Linked DNA regions of Rhinolophus ferrumequinum. The protein of the gene in region 1 interacts with the protein of each later gene in a pairwise test. Links are inferred from orthologs where the notes say so. Each region holds a gene or a part of one and is shown in the gene's direction. Other genes may lie near its edges.

Region 1 (7,333 bases):
GGGGGCACAGCCCACCATCCCTTGTGGGAGTTGAACCAGCAACCTTGTGGTTGAGGAGGATGCGCTCCAACCAACTGAGCCATCTGGGAGCTCAGCAGCAGCTCAGCTCAAGGTGCCGTGTTCAATCTTAGTTGCAGGGGGCACTGTAACGAATCACTTTTTAAAAATTAACTTTATTGTAGTTGTTGACAAAAGAACATCCAGCCTAAGAAAAAGTCTCATAAGAGTTTATCTGAGCCAAACTGACAGTTGCTGGGAAGCAAAATCTCAATGGATTGAGAAAATGCTACAGAGAAGGTCAGTTTTACAGCTTATTTTATACATCAGAATCAAAGGAGGAGACAGAGGGGGGTCATGAAATCCATTGGTAGTATATTAGGGAGGCGGGAAGCAAAGTGGGGAAGTCTCTGAGATTGGATAAAAAGTAAAGTGGAGAGATACATGCAACAAATACCACCACCACTAACAGTGCAGGATGGTGGGCTCTGCCCTGTGATCCTTCATTCTGGCCCTGAAATCTCTTTTCCAAGGATTTCAGGTTCCATGAAAGAGGGAAAAATGACCCCCATGTGATTCTTCCCAGTTTGAGGAATCTAGAAAAAAAATTAGAATTTTTGTCAGGTTAGGATTATAAAGCAGATTGATCTCACCTTTGTGAGCCCCTGAAAGTAATCCAGCATCCAAAAACTATACTTCCCTTTTAGTGCTTCCTCATTTAAAGTTTTTTTTTTTTCTGCCTTCCCTCCCCCCATCCTTATTAACCATTTTGTCTCTAGGTTTATTGTTATTACTTGTGATTTTAAAGAGAAAAGATTACTTGTGTGGTTTATACAAAGTTCAGGGCTTTATTGGTGGTGGTGTTGGGGAGATTAATAAATCTCCATATGAGTGATTCTATCAAATCAAAGTTTGGTCCTAGAATCACTGCAAGTTTGCATCCCAGCTTCACTTATGAGCAGTGTGACCTTGGGTAAGACAGGACTTCTTCACGCCTCCTTTGTACAATGGGGATGATAGTACCCAGGTCTTGGAGTTGCTAGGATTAAATGTGATGACACCAGCAAAGCATTTAGCATAGTGCCTGGCACTGTTCTCACCCAATATACAAGTAAAAACTGTCATAGGGACGTGCTGCTCATACCGTTCCAAGGATCAGCATAGTCTTCAGCCTCAAGAGTTGCCAGTGGGATTTCAGAATTCCAGGAGAGTCACTCGGCATCATTCATTGGCAGACCTGAGGAGAAGGGTTAAGTGGGGCGGGAATGAGAAATGATCACAAGATGGAGAGAAGGAAAAACAGAGGCACAGGCAGGTAGAATTTTATAGAACATTGCTCACTCCCCAAATATTGAGTTAGGTGCTGTGTATCCAATAAAGAAAAGAAAGGCTACCGGTGATTGGAAGCACAGAGGAGCAGTCAACCTGTTACTGTGCCAAAGGTCCAGCTGCTCGCCGCATGAAAGCCAAAACTTCAGCGGCAAGGTTGGTGGAAAGAAAAGCAGGTTTATTCCAAAATGACAGCATTAAGGGAAGACAGTGGACTCCTTGTCACAAAGTCTGCCTTCCCGCTCCTAATACCGCCAAAAGGTTTTATAGGCATGCAAGGAGAGGCAGAACAAAGAAAAAGGAGAAGTTGGCCCAGCTACTCCAGGAAAAACACTTCCCAAAGGCCAACATGCCTCAGGGTCAGGAGAAGATCCCATATAAATGCAAAAACCTCTCCGCAGCCCCAAAGTAAACAGAACCATTGAAACTGGTGGGTGTGATAGTAAATGCAAAGTAAACAGAATCATCAAAATTTGACTGGAGGGAAAAGAAGCAAAGAAAAGACTTTCAAAAAGTCCTTAGCCAAACCACTGTCAAATTGAATTACATCAGAGGTTTAAAATCTCAAAATAGAAGGATAAGGTCACCTTTACAAAACCAGCTAGGAGTGGGGTTCAGAGTAACAGGTAACAGAGTGGAGTCCTTAAGAACATCTGAGAGTTAGAGGGGTACAGTTTGTGCAAAGATATGGAGGTAAGACATGCCCAGCGAGACTGAAATTGTATAGCTGAAGTAGGAGTGTGGGGTTGAGGCACAAAATCTGTTATCCAATCAGCTTTAGGTATTTGTGGTGGACCATCTATATGACTGACACATGGAGGATGCTGTAGGGAAAAAGCAAAGCCCCTCTTCTCAGAAATATTATTTCCTGGAGGATAGATGGTAAACAAGTACAAAACTAAATAAACAAATAAACGATTGAGGAAACTTCTATGGTGGGAATAAACAATGGGTAAAGTGATAGAGGATGGATGGGTGGGAACTCAATTTAGATAAGGATCAGGAAGACTCTGAGGAGGTGGCATTTGAGCTGAGTGAAGGGTAAGATGGAGTTGGCAGTGCAGAGACAGGCAGATGGTCAGTCGGAGCATTTAATGTGGTGGGAAACCAGATGCAAATGTCCGCAGGCTGGAGCGGTAAAGCAGATTGGCTACTACCAATTGCTCCAACCTTTGGTTAGTGAGTGAAGAGCCTCAATGGGGGAAAGATTGCCCCTAACGGGAGGCAGAAAATGTCACAAGTTTGATTCACGTGGCCCTCAACCCTGCAGAGACCAACAGCGTGTGTGTGTGTGTGTGTGTGTGTGTGTGTGTGGTGCCAAAAATACTAGGGGTGCCAAAAAAGTGTGTACAAGTGGACACTTTGGTCAACGTTGCTCAAGCAGTTCGCCTTAATCAGAAGTGTCTGGACACTGATGGTAACCACTCTGAGCACCTCTTATAATTGCAGAAGTCAAATGTGACTTGTATATTCATCTTTTTTTGGCATCCTCTGTATTTTGTCCTGCATCTTAGCCAGATTTAAAATTCTGCCTAAAACTTAGGATTCAAACATCCCCTCAAATAACTTTTCCTCCTTAGACTAAGGTGGAGGTCCCAGGGCTGACAGCCTCAGTGGGCACAGCAAAGAGAATGTGAGAGAGTGATTTAACAGTGGACCATACTGGTGCTTTGCACACACCCAAGAGGGAGAAGGTCCAGAATCTGAAGATGAGTTTGTGGGCAGATGGGATTCCACCAACATGGGCAAGAAGCACAAAAGCTACCTGCTTTTTAAGGACCTCCAAGTAGTAGGTGTCGTGTGGGGCGGCCTGCGGGAGACCCTGCTCGCTGTGCCATGTGTCATGCAGGGTGTCATGCGGGGGGGTCTCAGCTCCCGCTCCCCACATAAGAATGCAGGATATGGTGAGGCCAAAAAGGAACACCCACGGAGCCATAAAGAGGGGAGTCATACTGGAGGCTGGGTTGGAGACACAGGAAGCAGGAGCCACACTATCTGCAACCACTGTCCACTTCTCTGCAATCTGCAACCCGCACTCCGCTGTGCTAACTGCAGTCCACGCTTGCCTGCCACCCTCTTCTTGCTAGCCCCCATTTTCTCTGCTAGCTTAGCCACAGCAGTTATATTAGTGGCCAATGGCTCACTGGTTACAGCTGACGGCCAACTAGCCACAGCTGATGGCCATCCAATCACAGTTGATGGCCATTTACTACCTGAGCCAGCACCTTTCCACGTGAGGTCGAGAGCCTGGAAACTGCACTCCTGGCTCTGTCCCCACAGTAGGTACAGCTGGGGTCAGCATTGGCCTCCTCTCTTGTAATAAAGAGACAATAAAAATTGTCCAGTCTGTACTATTCCCTACAGCAATACACCTTACAGGTAGAGAAAACTTTTAAGTTCAGTCAAAGTGCTTGTAAGTCAACTAGGATTGTGGGGTCTCTGAGGGACCAGGATTGATTTGGACGACGCACACCATCCAATATCGCAAAGTGCAGGACCACGTCTAGTGCTGCCGGTTCTAAACTTGTAGTCCTGGGCCTTCCCAGGTCTAGGACAGACTTCAGCAGGCGCAGGGATGCCACATGCGTTTGCCAAGGGAGTGAGTTTAGAGAAGTCACTCCGAAAAGGACGTCTCCAAAAGAGCGACTGCCCTGAGGTCTCGCCCATTGCCACATTCTTATTGCTGGGAAAAACAATATGGTCAGGTCTAACACCCTCTCCTCCGAAGCATGGGCAGATAGAAAAATCTCTAAGATTCACCTAACCTTCCGTTACTCCCGCCATACTGGTCTAAGCGCCAAAGCCCGTCGCCCGCGTTTTGCGTACAGGTCGCAGAGCATTGTGGGGCTGATAGTCCAGACAGGGGCGCAGCTTCGGGCTACCGAAGCCAAAGAACTACATTTCCCAGTAAGGCCCGCGCCGGCGCAGGTCTTGTGCATAAACGATTAGACTTCCGGAAGAACCGGGGGCGGGACTGTGGCAGAGGCTGGAGTCAGGCGTCGGGATGCAGCGTCCTGGGCCCTTCAGCACCCTCTACGGGCGGGTCCTGGCCCCACTGCCCGGGCGGGCCGGGGGCGCGGCCTCTGGCAGAGGCGGGAACAGTTGGGGCGTCCCAGGCTCCCACGTGCAGCCGCCTGGGTGCGCCCAGTCCGGGACTAGCGGCGGTGCTGGCCGAACAAACACCAGCAGCCGGAAAGCCAACAGCGTGTTCCTGGACCCCTCCACGATGTCCAAGGCCGAGGAGGCCAAGAAGCTGGCGGGCCACTTAGCAGTGAAGAACCACGTGAGGGTGAGCAGTTCAGGGGCGTGGGCGCCTGTACTCGGCGTGATGGGTTCGTGTCGCGCGCTCTGGGCACTGCCGGCGTTCGCCCGGTTCCTGGAAGGACGTGGGCTGCGTGAGAGGGGAGAGAGTGCGCACTTGACCCGGGTTAGACCCCTTGTTTCCGGCTCCTTAAAGGCCAGTTAGATGCGGGATCGATTGGAGGCGAGTCCCCTAAGTTGAGCTTTCTAAAGACTCCTTGTCTGGCCGGATAATAGTTTGCACCGTGGAGCCTGGTGTTGTCTGATGCTGAGTGGGAATGGAAGGGACTTGCCGTGAGGTTTCCTTATCAACAAATGGAAACCGACGCCTGCTGGGGCGGCTGAGAGGTCTTGTCTTCACTTTCCTGGGAAGCCGGTGGAGAGCTGTCTGAAAATAGCATTGAAATTTCACTCCAAGGCCGTTTTAGCTTGCGCTAACACCTCTGAGTGTGCTCGCCAGAGGGAAGGGGAAAGACTGCAGCTTTAAACCTCCCTTCGACGGGGTCGGGTGGATACCTGAAGTCTGGAGGATGCTGTTTTTTAGGGTTTAGGTGCGGAGTTGTTTAGCTGTTACTCGGTGTGGTCGTGGCCCCACTTGTTTGTTAAGCGGTGGGTGTGATGCTGTTTGTTAGTGGAGTCTTTTCCCCTGAGTGGGTTTGTCAACTTAATTATCTTAATTAGAGCAGTGTGGGAGCCAAGTAGAGTATCTCTGCCCTTAGGTGGAGTTTCTTTGGCTTTACTGGCTTTTTGTCTTTCTTTTCTACTTCTTAGAAAATGATATCAGAGTTCCTTTTTTGTCATGATAGTTTGTTTTTTTTTCAGTTGATAATGCATTAGCTTGTAAAGTTATTTTGCATAGATAGATGATGTTTGCTCCCCAAGCAGCCTGGTTAAGTGTGAGGGGCCCATGTGGTAAACTGTTTCAGCATGTTCTGTAAGAAGGACTGGCCAAGGATCCTATTGAACCCGAAGTGAGTGACTCCTGTTACAGTGCCCTTCCACCAGTTGCACAGCCGCCCTGTTCTGGCTTGTTCCAAGTCTGCTTAGCAATGAGACTTTCAATAAGCAATAAGACTTAGCAATAAGTTTCTGCTTAGCAATAAGACTTTCTGTGGGAATTCACAGAAAGTGTGTAAAATGTGTAATCCGGATCTGCTTTTGGGATTCAGTGCCTCAACTGCAAGATTGGGACAGTAAACTGAATCTGGGGACAGAGCAGTTTCCCGGCTCTCGGCCTTACGTGGAAAGGTGCTGGCTGGGTTATTAGTTGGCCACTGATATAACTGCTGTGACTGAGCTAGCAAGCGCGGATTGCAGTTAGTGAGGGGTGGGTTGGTTGGCAGCTGCCAGGGAGAATATAGTGGTATGACTCCCCTATCTATGGCTCTGTGGGTGGTCCTTTTTGGCCTCGCCATATCCTGCGTTCTTATGTGGGGAGCGGGACCAGAGACCCTGCATGACACTGAAATTTCAAAGTGCCTGGATACAGTGAGTAGCTAGCTAATGGACAGGTAAATGAAATTGATACAATTAGAAAAGCCTCATATCTTAGTTTTCCTATTAACCTAGTGTCATGCGGGGTCTCAGCTCCTGCTCCCGGCACCCACGGAGCCATAGATAGGGGAGTTATACCACTATATTCTCGATGGCGGCTGGTTGAGACACAGGAAGTAGGATCCACACGATCCACAACCCGCCATCCACGCTTGCTAATAACCCCACTTGCTAGCCGCAGTCCGCACTTGCTAACCATGCTTGCTAACTGTGTCATCCGCAATCCGCAGTCCGTTTGTCTGCCAACTAACCAGTCCCCTAGCCTAGCCACGGCAGTTATACTAGTGGCTAATGGCTAACTAGTCACAGCTGATGGCCATCTACTACCCAAGCCAGCACCTTTCCAGGTGAGGTCGAGAGCCTGGAAACTCTCTGGGACTCCGTCCCTATACCTAGTTAAATTAATATTTGGTGGCACATGTATCCTTAACTTTTGTTTTATAATTATGTATTTGGTCAAATAAAAATCTGCAAGCCCCCCACCTCAGGCTAGAGCCTCAAAACACTGGATTGCAGCCACATTATTCCATGAAGTTACCAGGTGATCCCAAGGAGATCTCTATTGGCCTTTTGGGGCACCTCACCTCAATCTCAGTTGCACCCACTTTCCCTACCAAACTTCTTTCCTGAGATGCCAACACTATTTGAAGTTTGTATTTATTGCTCGTTAGCATTGATTTATTCATATAATATGTTGGTCAGGTATTTATTGAGTGCCTAGCAGTGTCAGGCCGTTGGTGTGGTTGCCAGAAATGTGGCCAAAGGGAGGAGTGGGAGGAGAGACAGGTCCGATAGATATTTTGTAAGCAGGATGACTAATTCAAACCCACACATTTATTGAGCATATTCACGTACTTAATTGTCAGGGCTTATTTAGCTGCCCTCTCCAAGGGGTATCCTTTTCCCGTCTAAGGCCATGTTTTCCTCTAGCACTTTGTGACTTGAAATTGTTGACTCACTTGTGTAAGTGTGTAGAGGTAGGTTATATGCTGGGTCCTGTTTTTCTGTCTTTGGAATGTTCTTAGAGCTGACCCTTCCCTTTGACCTACCAACTTTCCCAGTTTAGGCTGTTCCCAGGGCCAGAGGAGAGTAGTTGCTTTTATCTTGTCCCCTCTGTTGCCCTCCCAGGTGGTGCATTATCATCTTCTGATGC
Region 2 (7,887 bases), on another chromosome or scaffold:
CTCTGAAGAGATTGATTCGACCATCTTCTCCGACGGTGACAATGTCTGGATTGCTGCACACAACCCCCGTACATGGCGCACTGCTGCAGGAAGGACTGCCCAGACCGGTGTGGTGGTGAGCTGCTGTCCACTGCTGGCTGACGGACAGTGTCTAGGTGTCAGAAATGACAATATGATTAATCAAAGCAAAGCTCTAAAAACATAGCACTTTTTCCCAACTAAAGAGTATTTTAAAATTCCGTCTCATACCCTTCTAGCAAAAGGACAACTCTCTCCTTTTTCCTTTTTATTTCCAAGTATTAAAGCCTAGAAACTACTTCCATCAAAGCTCTGTATACACTGGATTAGATTCAAAAGACCATTGTTCAATAATAGGCCAATCTTATCTCAAACTAAAGAAACGGTTTTGAGGTATCAGGTAGTTGTGTGTTCAAAAGCAACTTTAAATTCTTAAGGGAATTAGCCTACATCTAAGAAATAAATCTCTATAATGCTTTCTAAAGGATTCCATTAATACTTAATAAGACCCGGGTCTTATATTTTCTAGACATGCCTATTAGCAACGTGACCTTTATTAATTCCAAAGTCTAAATAAGCACTCTCTTCTAGCAACTTAAAACTATTACAAGTGGGACTACCTATTTTAAAGGAATGCCCTCAACACTATGCTCTGAAGGTCAGTACTCTTAGGCTTCAGCACACAGGAAAGGCACTGAAAAAATGTCAAGTCTTCACACAGAGTATCCTCTCTTCTAATTAAAACCCAGGTTCTATCCACAGAAGCAAAGTAGCTGTTCCTGTTTTCTCTCATGATACCTTAACTAAAAGGTGCTCTTTCTTCAAAGACCAAAATGGGAACTTAAAACAGAATTACAGGAAAATTCCTTGCCAGAATACTAGATTGTTAAGTCTAGACTCTAGACTAACAGAATTTAAGAGATAACCAAATTCAATACAAGCACACACAAACACGGTTCTAAAATTAGTCTACTAAAAGTTGGGTAATATAACGATGTTTTTCCCCTCCATATTTTGAGACTATATAATTTTATTATTTGTGTCATTATTAAAAACAGTCTTTTTAAAGCCTTCCTAAAAATAATGAAAATACAAATTAATTAAGTTTTCAAACAAAATTTCTTTACCTGGTTATTTGGACGGTAAAGGAAAACTGTTACACATCCTGTTGATGAAGCAGCTACCATTCTTTCCTGGTCAAAAAACTAAACAGAAAATTCATGCTTGTTATGGATTGAGAAATACCAGTAAAGTGGAAGCCCATTTGTTTAACTTAATTAGTAGTAATAATAGTTTTAAAATGCAAAGAGCCTATAAATGCTAAGCAAATAAAATGTGATGACAGACCTGAAAGTAAAAATTCCAATACCAATATAAGTATTTTTGTGAAGGAAAAAAAATAACAATTTTTTTCCCTAAACTCATTCCCCTAAAACTGATTTAGTTAATTCTGGACCACTATCATAAAGGTTTAGAAAAGTAAGGTGAGGCAAGTTACTATTGAAGAAAACACAGTGACTCTGAAGTCACACATACCAGGATTTGAAAACTTAATTTCAGTCCCACCACTTACTATTGGCTTTGAGACTTTGGCCAAGTTAAATTGTTTTAAGTCTAGGTAAACCTTTAAAAGGAGAGAACTAATCCCTACTTAGGGAGTTGTGAGAATTCAAAGAGCAAAACACATGTAAAGTAACTCGAACAGTATTTGTCACACAGCACTTGCTCAAAAGATCTTAATCTCAGTTTTCTCATTGATAAAACAGAGATAACAATACTTGATTCACAAGCATGCAATGAGAATTATGTGAAGCTCCCCAAATAGTGCTTGGCATACAGTAGATGGTCAACTAAAAAAAAAAAAAACAAAAAAAACACAAAAAACAAACAAACAAAAAAACCCTAGGATTCAAAAACTAGGGTTAAACCCACATCGCCTTCCCCACTCCTGATTCTAACATTAAGTGGCTATATGATGTTCAAAAATCATAACCTATAGAGAACTCAGTTTCCTGTAGACCCAGGAAAATGTAAGGTCCTTTACATCTCTAAATGTATGAGTGTTTTTTAAAAGTTAGCTTTTGGATATTATACATCCAAAAAAGATGTTACTTACTTGTAAATCCATAACATCACCATGGTGTCTGGTACCGCACAGTAACTGATGGTCTCCTTCAAACCCTCCATCAGAGTCCAAGTTCCCAAAATCTCCAATAGACCACAGTGAAACATAATTTTCCTGTAAAGCAGCAAGTTTTACCTTGAGATGAAATATTACGTTAAACTTTCGGAAATTAACATTTGTATTGCCTACAGGCAACCTTGCTTTGAAAGCATCTCAGAATAGTGGTGACAGTGTGGTGATAGTTTAAAACACGAGATTCGAGGCTAAGGCACATACCATCGATGGCTGGGGTACAGGTCAACCGAGCCCGCGACAGGGACTCGGGGGATGGAGAAAAGTGAGAGGATGTAGAAGGCAAGAGAATTCGCGCGCAGGCGGCCGGGGGGTCGCAGGGGCTTCCCGGGCGGGGAACAAAGAGGGGGAGGAGACAGGGGCTTCCTGGCCCGGGAACGGAGATACCTCATTGTCCCAAGAGCCCGTAGCGAAGATCTCCGCGGTCTGCAGACTTCCCGGAGGTACCGGTCGCCAGCGGGTTTTGCTGATTTTCTGAGACACGTACTTAGCATAAAACTCCTCCATGCCGAAATTAACCGCGGCGGAGACAGCAAAAAGCACAGCGCGCGCCTCTTAGTCCCGCCCCCTCCCGCGGAGCTCTGATTGGACTGGACCTTACGGGACGGACGGTGGCTGCGGAGAGCCAATTCTCTGCGGTCGGCAATGAGGGGACCACCAGCTCCCAAGCAGAAGGAAGCTTTGACGCTCTTCCTTACCCACGCGTTTTTTAACAGAGGCAACAAGTGTGCTGGTCCTGGTACTGTGGGACCTGCTCCTAATCTTCAAAATCAGTTTAGGAACACTGACACAATGCATTCATCCAATAACTGTGCAATGTTAAAACAAATTTAAGAGAAACCACCAAGTAGCCGCACCTAAACATTCAGCTTTGCATTTCACTGTGCATAGATTATTCAAATCCTTAAATTCTCATGGAAGTGCACGCCATTAACACACCAACTTATTATTCTAAACCTCTCCCTCTGTCTCCCAAACAAATTCTTTGCTTCAAAGTTCTTAACGCACACTTGCAAAGCCTGGAGTTGGAATGCTGAAGACTCCAGTTCTAGTTTTCATGACCATTGCCCAACCTTCTTCAATTGACTTATATATGTATTAACAATTAAGTTTGATATGTAACATCGACAGCCCAGGAATCAGTGCTGTAGGTTCTTCCAGTGCTCTTGGTTACACCTGTAATAATACCCGTATAGTCTTCTTTACTTCTTGGGATCCTACCCATCTTTCAAGGACCAGTTCCTTCCTGTTATCTTTTCCTGATTATTCCAGCCCGTGATCTTAAATAAACATAGCACTTTAGACCCCTAATTTTGGCCACTAATAGCACTTAAGTTTTGTCCTCTGTTGCTAGTTTTATTTTGATGCTGATCTCCCCAATTAGAATGTAAATCCTATTGCATACATAAGAGGTGTGACTTATTCATCTTTCTAAAAATCTCCTTTATACTGTATTCATAATGATGTGTTGGTTGTCAGCTTTAGAGAGTTATCAGGTCTTATTGAGGATTGAGGCTTTTTTTAAATGGACTACAATAGGAAACTGCAGAGAGATGAAATGGAAAACTTAATCCCACACTGACAGTTTTATTCCTACTATTGAAGTAAAGAACACGGTTTTGAGTGTGGTTTCATTTATGGTCACAGAATTCCAGAAAATACGTAACATATTTTTTGTATTGGAAGTAGGCTGAGTATCACATTTGACATCTGGAAAGAACTAGAATTTGAAAATTGCTGCTGGCGCATAATGTTTTGACATAACTTTTTCTTCCTTAAAATTTTATTGGACTGGATGATTGGATTCTGTCAGTATCAGTTCTGATTAGGAGTCAGCAAGTTGAATGCGACAAGCAATGCTCCCTTTCAGCTGCTCAGTCTTGCAGAGATGACAGCAATAGTACTGATGTCCAGTTTAACGGTACCATTTGCGAGGTTTAATTTGCTGAAAGCTCACACTTGTGTTAGAGTAATACATTGGATATAGATAGAATACTGTGGTATTTTTAACCAATTGCATTGTTCTGGTGAGTAAAGCATTCCTCGCCCCCACATGTCATGTTATTCTTCTACTCTCTGAATTTGTACTTTAGAATTGAGAACAAACCAGGGGCTGCGAAGTCTCTCTAACCGAACACCGATGTAGTTGTCATAAAGCCAGAGGCTGCCGAACTCGGGTTAGAGAGGGCCTTTGCTCTCTGGTGCTATTAATATTATTCAGGCTGCACCAGAAAGCTCTGACTCTAACCGACCTAAATATTAGTCAACAGGGTTGGGTGAGGCAGGACGGAGGAAGCCCACCGTCTAATAATCTGGGCAGCTATAGGAGCAGACCCGCCGCTCGCAACAGCTGACCCAACGGAGACTGCGGAGCTACCGGCAGCGGCGGAACCAGATCGTCCAGACGCGACGTCACAGAAAGGCACCGCTATCCTGCAACCGCGCTCGGCGACCAGAGCCTCAGCCGGGCACGCGACCCACCGCAGCCGGGCCCACGCCGCCTGGCCGCAGGGCGAACCGAACAAGGAGGCGGTTTGCAGCCCGAGGCCTCATAAGGGGGCACGGAGCGGCGGGGGCGGCGGCGGCGGCGGCGCTAACTCTGCCTGGCCTCTCCGCCGGTCTCCGGCAGCCGCAGCAGCCACCAACGGGGGCGGCTGGACTCGGGGCCACCCCCGCCTCCGGCCCCACCCAGCCGCACCCGAGGCCGCCAGGCGTCACAGAGCGCATGCGTGCCGCGGGGGATGCCGGGAGCGCGCAGTGGCGGCAGCGGCGGCGACGGCAGTCACAGCGGCGGCAACAGCGGGGACGCCAGCGGGCCGGTGACCGTGTGGGAGGTGGTCTCACTCTTGGGGAAGCTGCTGGGCACCGTCGCCGCGCTGAAGGTGGTTCTGTACCTGCTCCGGGTGTGCTTAGCGATGGCCTGGAAATCCGGCGGCGCCAGCCACTCGGAGCTAATCCACAATCTCTGCAGTAAGTGCCACCCCCGCTGGGTGTGGGGCAACTGGGGCAGGCCAGGCCTGGACAGAGTCCCCCGGGCTGTCCGGAGCGTTCTCTCGCCCCTCCTCCCCCGTGTCTGCTGGAGGGCTTCGGCCCAGGGTTGCACCAGCAGTCCCGAACGGCATGCGCTTGCGATCGCGTCCCCCGGGACCTGTCACTCATTGGCTACGTGGACTGGAAGGGGAGAGAAAGAGCCCGCGGCCGCTGCTGGTGGGGCAGGGGCAGGCGTCTCCCCAGAGACCTGGGAGGAGAGGGCGCGGCACAGGTGGTGGGGCTGTCACTCGAGTCCTTCTCCTGGACGTCCGGGTCCGGCGGGCGAGGGGCGTGCACTCGGGGTGGGGAGATGTTGGCTAGGCCTCCTAGAGTCTGGTCTGGAACTGAGGGGTCCACCCTGGCCCCCCGCGTCTTCTCACCTCCGTCGTCTTCGTGATCGACCTCGCTGCGAGCGCTCTCTCCTATTCTGCCTCCCCCGCCCTCCGTTTTTTCCTCTGGAGGGAGATGCCACCGTCTGATACAGGCGAGGGGAGGGAGAGGAAGATGAGAGTATTGTCGTTGCGGATGCTGGGAGAAATTTCTGGGGCGGCTGTCCAGTGGAAAGCTTCGTGGGGGGCGGAGGAAGAAATAATCGGGATGCTGTTCCTGAGAGACTTGTGTTTAAGGAGCCTTTAGAGGTCCTGGAATCCAACGAACGAGTATGTGTGTGTGTGTGTGTGTGTGTGTGTGTGTGTGTGTGTGTGTGTGTCTAATCTAACTTTTTTCAGGACTGCCATATGCGTTAAAAGCCTTGCGTGGAAGTTTCTTTATATCCTTCTCTTGAGTTATTGTATTCCTTCCTCTGATGATAATTTTAGGGCGGGATGAGTGCTGTGTCACTTTCTTTTTTTAAATCGAAGTGTAGTGTCGCGGTGTGGTGGGGAAACCAGGATTGCAGCCCATAATACTCTGGTCAGAATTTATAGCACTCTCTTTGCCACTAACTGCAAATAAGCATACCTTGCCACGTGATATTTTTAATTGTCATAGGTTATTTAGCTTTTCATGTGTCTGTCATATTTCCTAATCCAATTGGTAACCTCTGGGACTTTTAAAAATTACCTGTGAATCCTCTCAAAGAAATTAATACTCATTCCTTTTTTTTTCCGTAAATGCCAATTAAATGTACGTTATATGCTTGGATCTGTGCTAGGAATATTCCGATGAGTTAGAGAAATAGCACTATCTGGCGCATGGTTAGTACTTAATATTAGTCATTTGACGTTTTTTAAAACAGTATTTGATACTTGGAAATCATGGCCTTAGTGTTTAGTAATGAAGAATATTTAGATTTTAAAATTCTGTCAAGCATTGCCAGTATTCACTTTATTGAAGGATATTTGATTGGAAATGGGCATTTATATGCTGAGACAGCATTATTAGGTGCCATTTAGGTTCCCCATGGATTGCACATAAGCTCAATACGTTGTAAGTACTTTTATAAAATTTCTTACAATGATCTAGTGTCTGCTGTTGCAGTATATACACCTGAAACATTCTACACTCGAATTGTGATTAGGTAATTTTCCACCGGTAGGTTATCTTAGTAGACACTTGGCTGTGGCAGAAGCTTGTAATCAATCAGGCTCTTAAAGTCTCTCCTTTTGGGGCCAAATTTATAGTAAGCCAAGACTAGATCTTTTCCCACTTTAACGTATTGCATTACTATTCTTAGCTGAAACTCCTAAGGATGTTGTTCTATCAGCGAATCTGATAAGAAATATTTAATGTGCATGTTGATATTGTAGATATTTAGTTTTATAGTAGATCTATGGTAAGAGGAAATTAGAGTACTCATATTGTTTAGCGTCTTTTGTAACCCTTTTGTAACTTTAGTTTCAACTTCTTGTTAAATTCATTCCAGCTAATAGGTGTCATTTTTATTTATTAGTTTATTATAAAAGTAATATTTGCTCATGTAAACATTTCAATTGGCACAAAATTTGAAAATTGCTCTTTTTCCTGGTGGTTCCACTGGAAGCTTTCCTGAAGGCTTCTAATTGAGTCTTTAGAAAAAGATTAAAATGTGATGATGTTGATGTTGAAGAAAAAAGGATCTGCAAACCTGAAGAGGAAGCAAATTATGGTTTTAATTTTTTTTTAAAGAAATGAAGTTCATAATTGGTTTCATTTTAATATTGTAATTGTTGAAAATATCTACTGTAGATTTCTTTTATAAATCACAATAGAAGCATGATTATGTATGATTTCGTAGTTGATATACCGTTTATAGATTATTTTAGACTATAATGGTACATCTCCTAATATCTCATAGCTTATGTTGTGATGACAACTGCTCTTTAATAACTTAAAACAGTGGTCTAAAAGTGGAGCATATTTGATCACCTGGAGAGCTGGTTGAAACTGATTAAGACAGATTGCTGAGGCTCCCAAGAATTTGTACAGTAGACCCTTGAACAACACGGGTTTGAACATCATGGGTCAATTTATAAATGGATTTTTTTCAATAAATATACAGGCAGCCCTTTGTATCCCTGATTGGTCTTCAGCAGATTCAACCAACCCGTGGTTGAAAACAGTATTTTTAATCAGCGGTTGGGAATCCGCGGATGCGGCATGCTGACTGAATGCATTGTTCTTTGCCATTTTATATATGGGACTTAAGCAGAGGATCCATGGAT

What was found. The genes of interacting proteins can lie anywhere in the genome.
Region 2: the proteins of RPIA (region 1) and PCMT1 interact in binary tests that used the Homo sapiens proteins (3 or more experiments, as listed by UniProt). The two-hybrid records come from large-scale screens. The link is inferred for Rhinolophus ferrumequinum from reciprocal best matches to the Homo sapiens genes RPIA and PCMT1.

What each region holds. Positions count from the first base shown.
Region 1 is NC_046296.1:7,200,896-7,208,228, forward strand, and holds the start of RPIA (ribose-5-phosphate isomerase), read left to right. Parts: upstream 1-4,300; 5' UTR 4,301-4,330; coding exon 4,331-4,615; intron 4,616-7,333. UniProt on the Homo sapiens protein: Catalyzes the reversible conversion of ribose-5-phosphate to ribulose 5-phosphate and participates in the first step of the non-oxidative branch of the pentose phosphate pathway.
Region 2 is NC_046286.1:93,112,118-93,120,004, forward strand, and holds the start of PCMT1 (protein-L-isoaspartate(D-aspartate) O-methyltransferase), read left to right. Parts: upstream 1-4,804; 5' UTR 4,805-4,956; coding exon 4,957-5,185; intron 5,186-7,887. Other genes in the region: nucleoporin Nup43, read right to left, coding at 1-151, 1,146-1,223, 2,135-2,257, 2,603-2,722. UniProt on the Homo sapiens protein: Initiates the repair of damaged proteins by catalyzing methyl esterification of L-isoaspartyl and D-aspartyl residues produced by spontaneous isomerization and racemization of L-aspartyl and L-asparaginyl residues in aging peptides and proteins.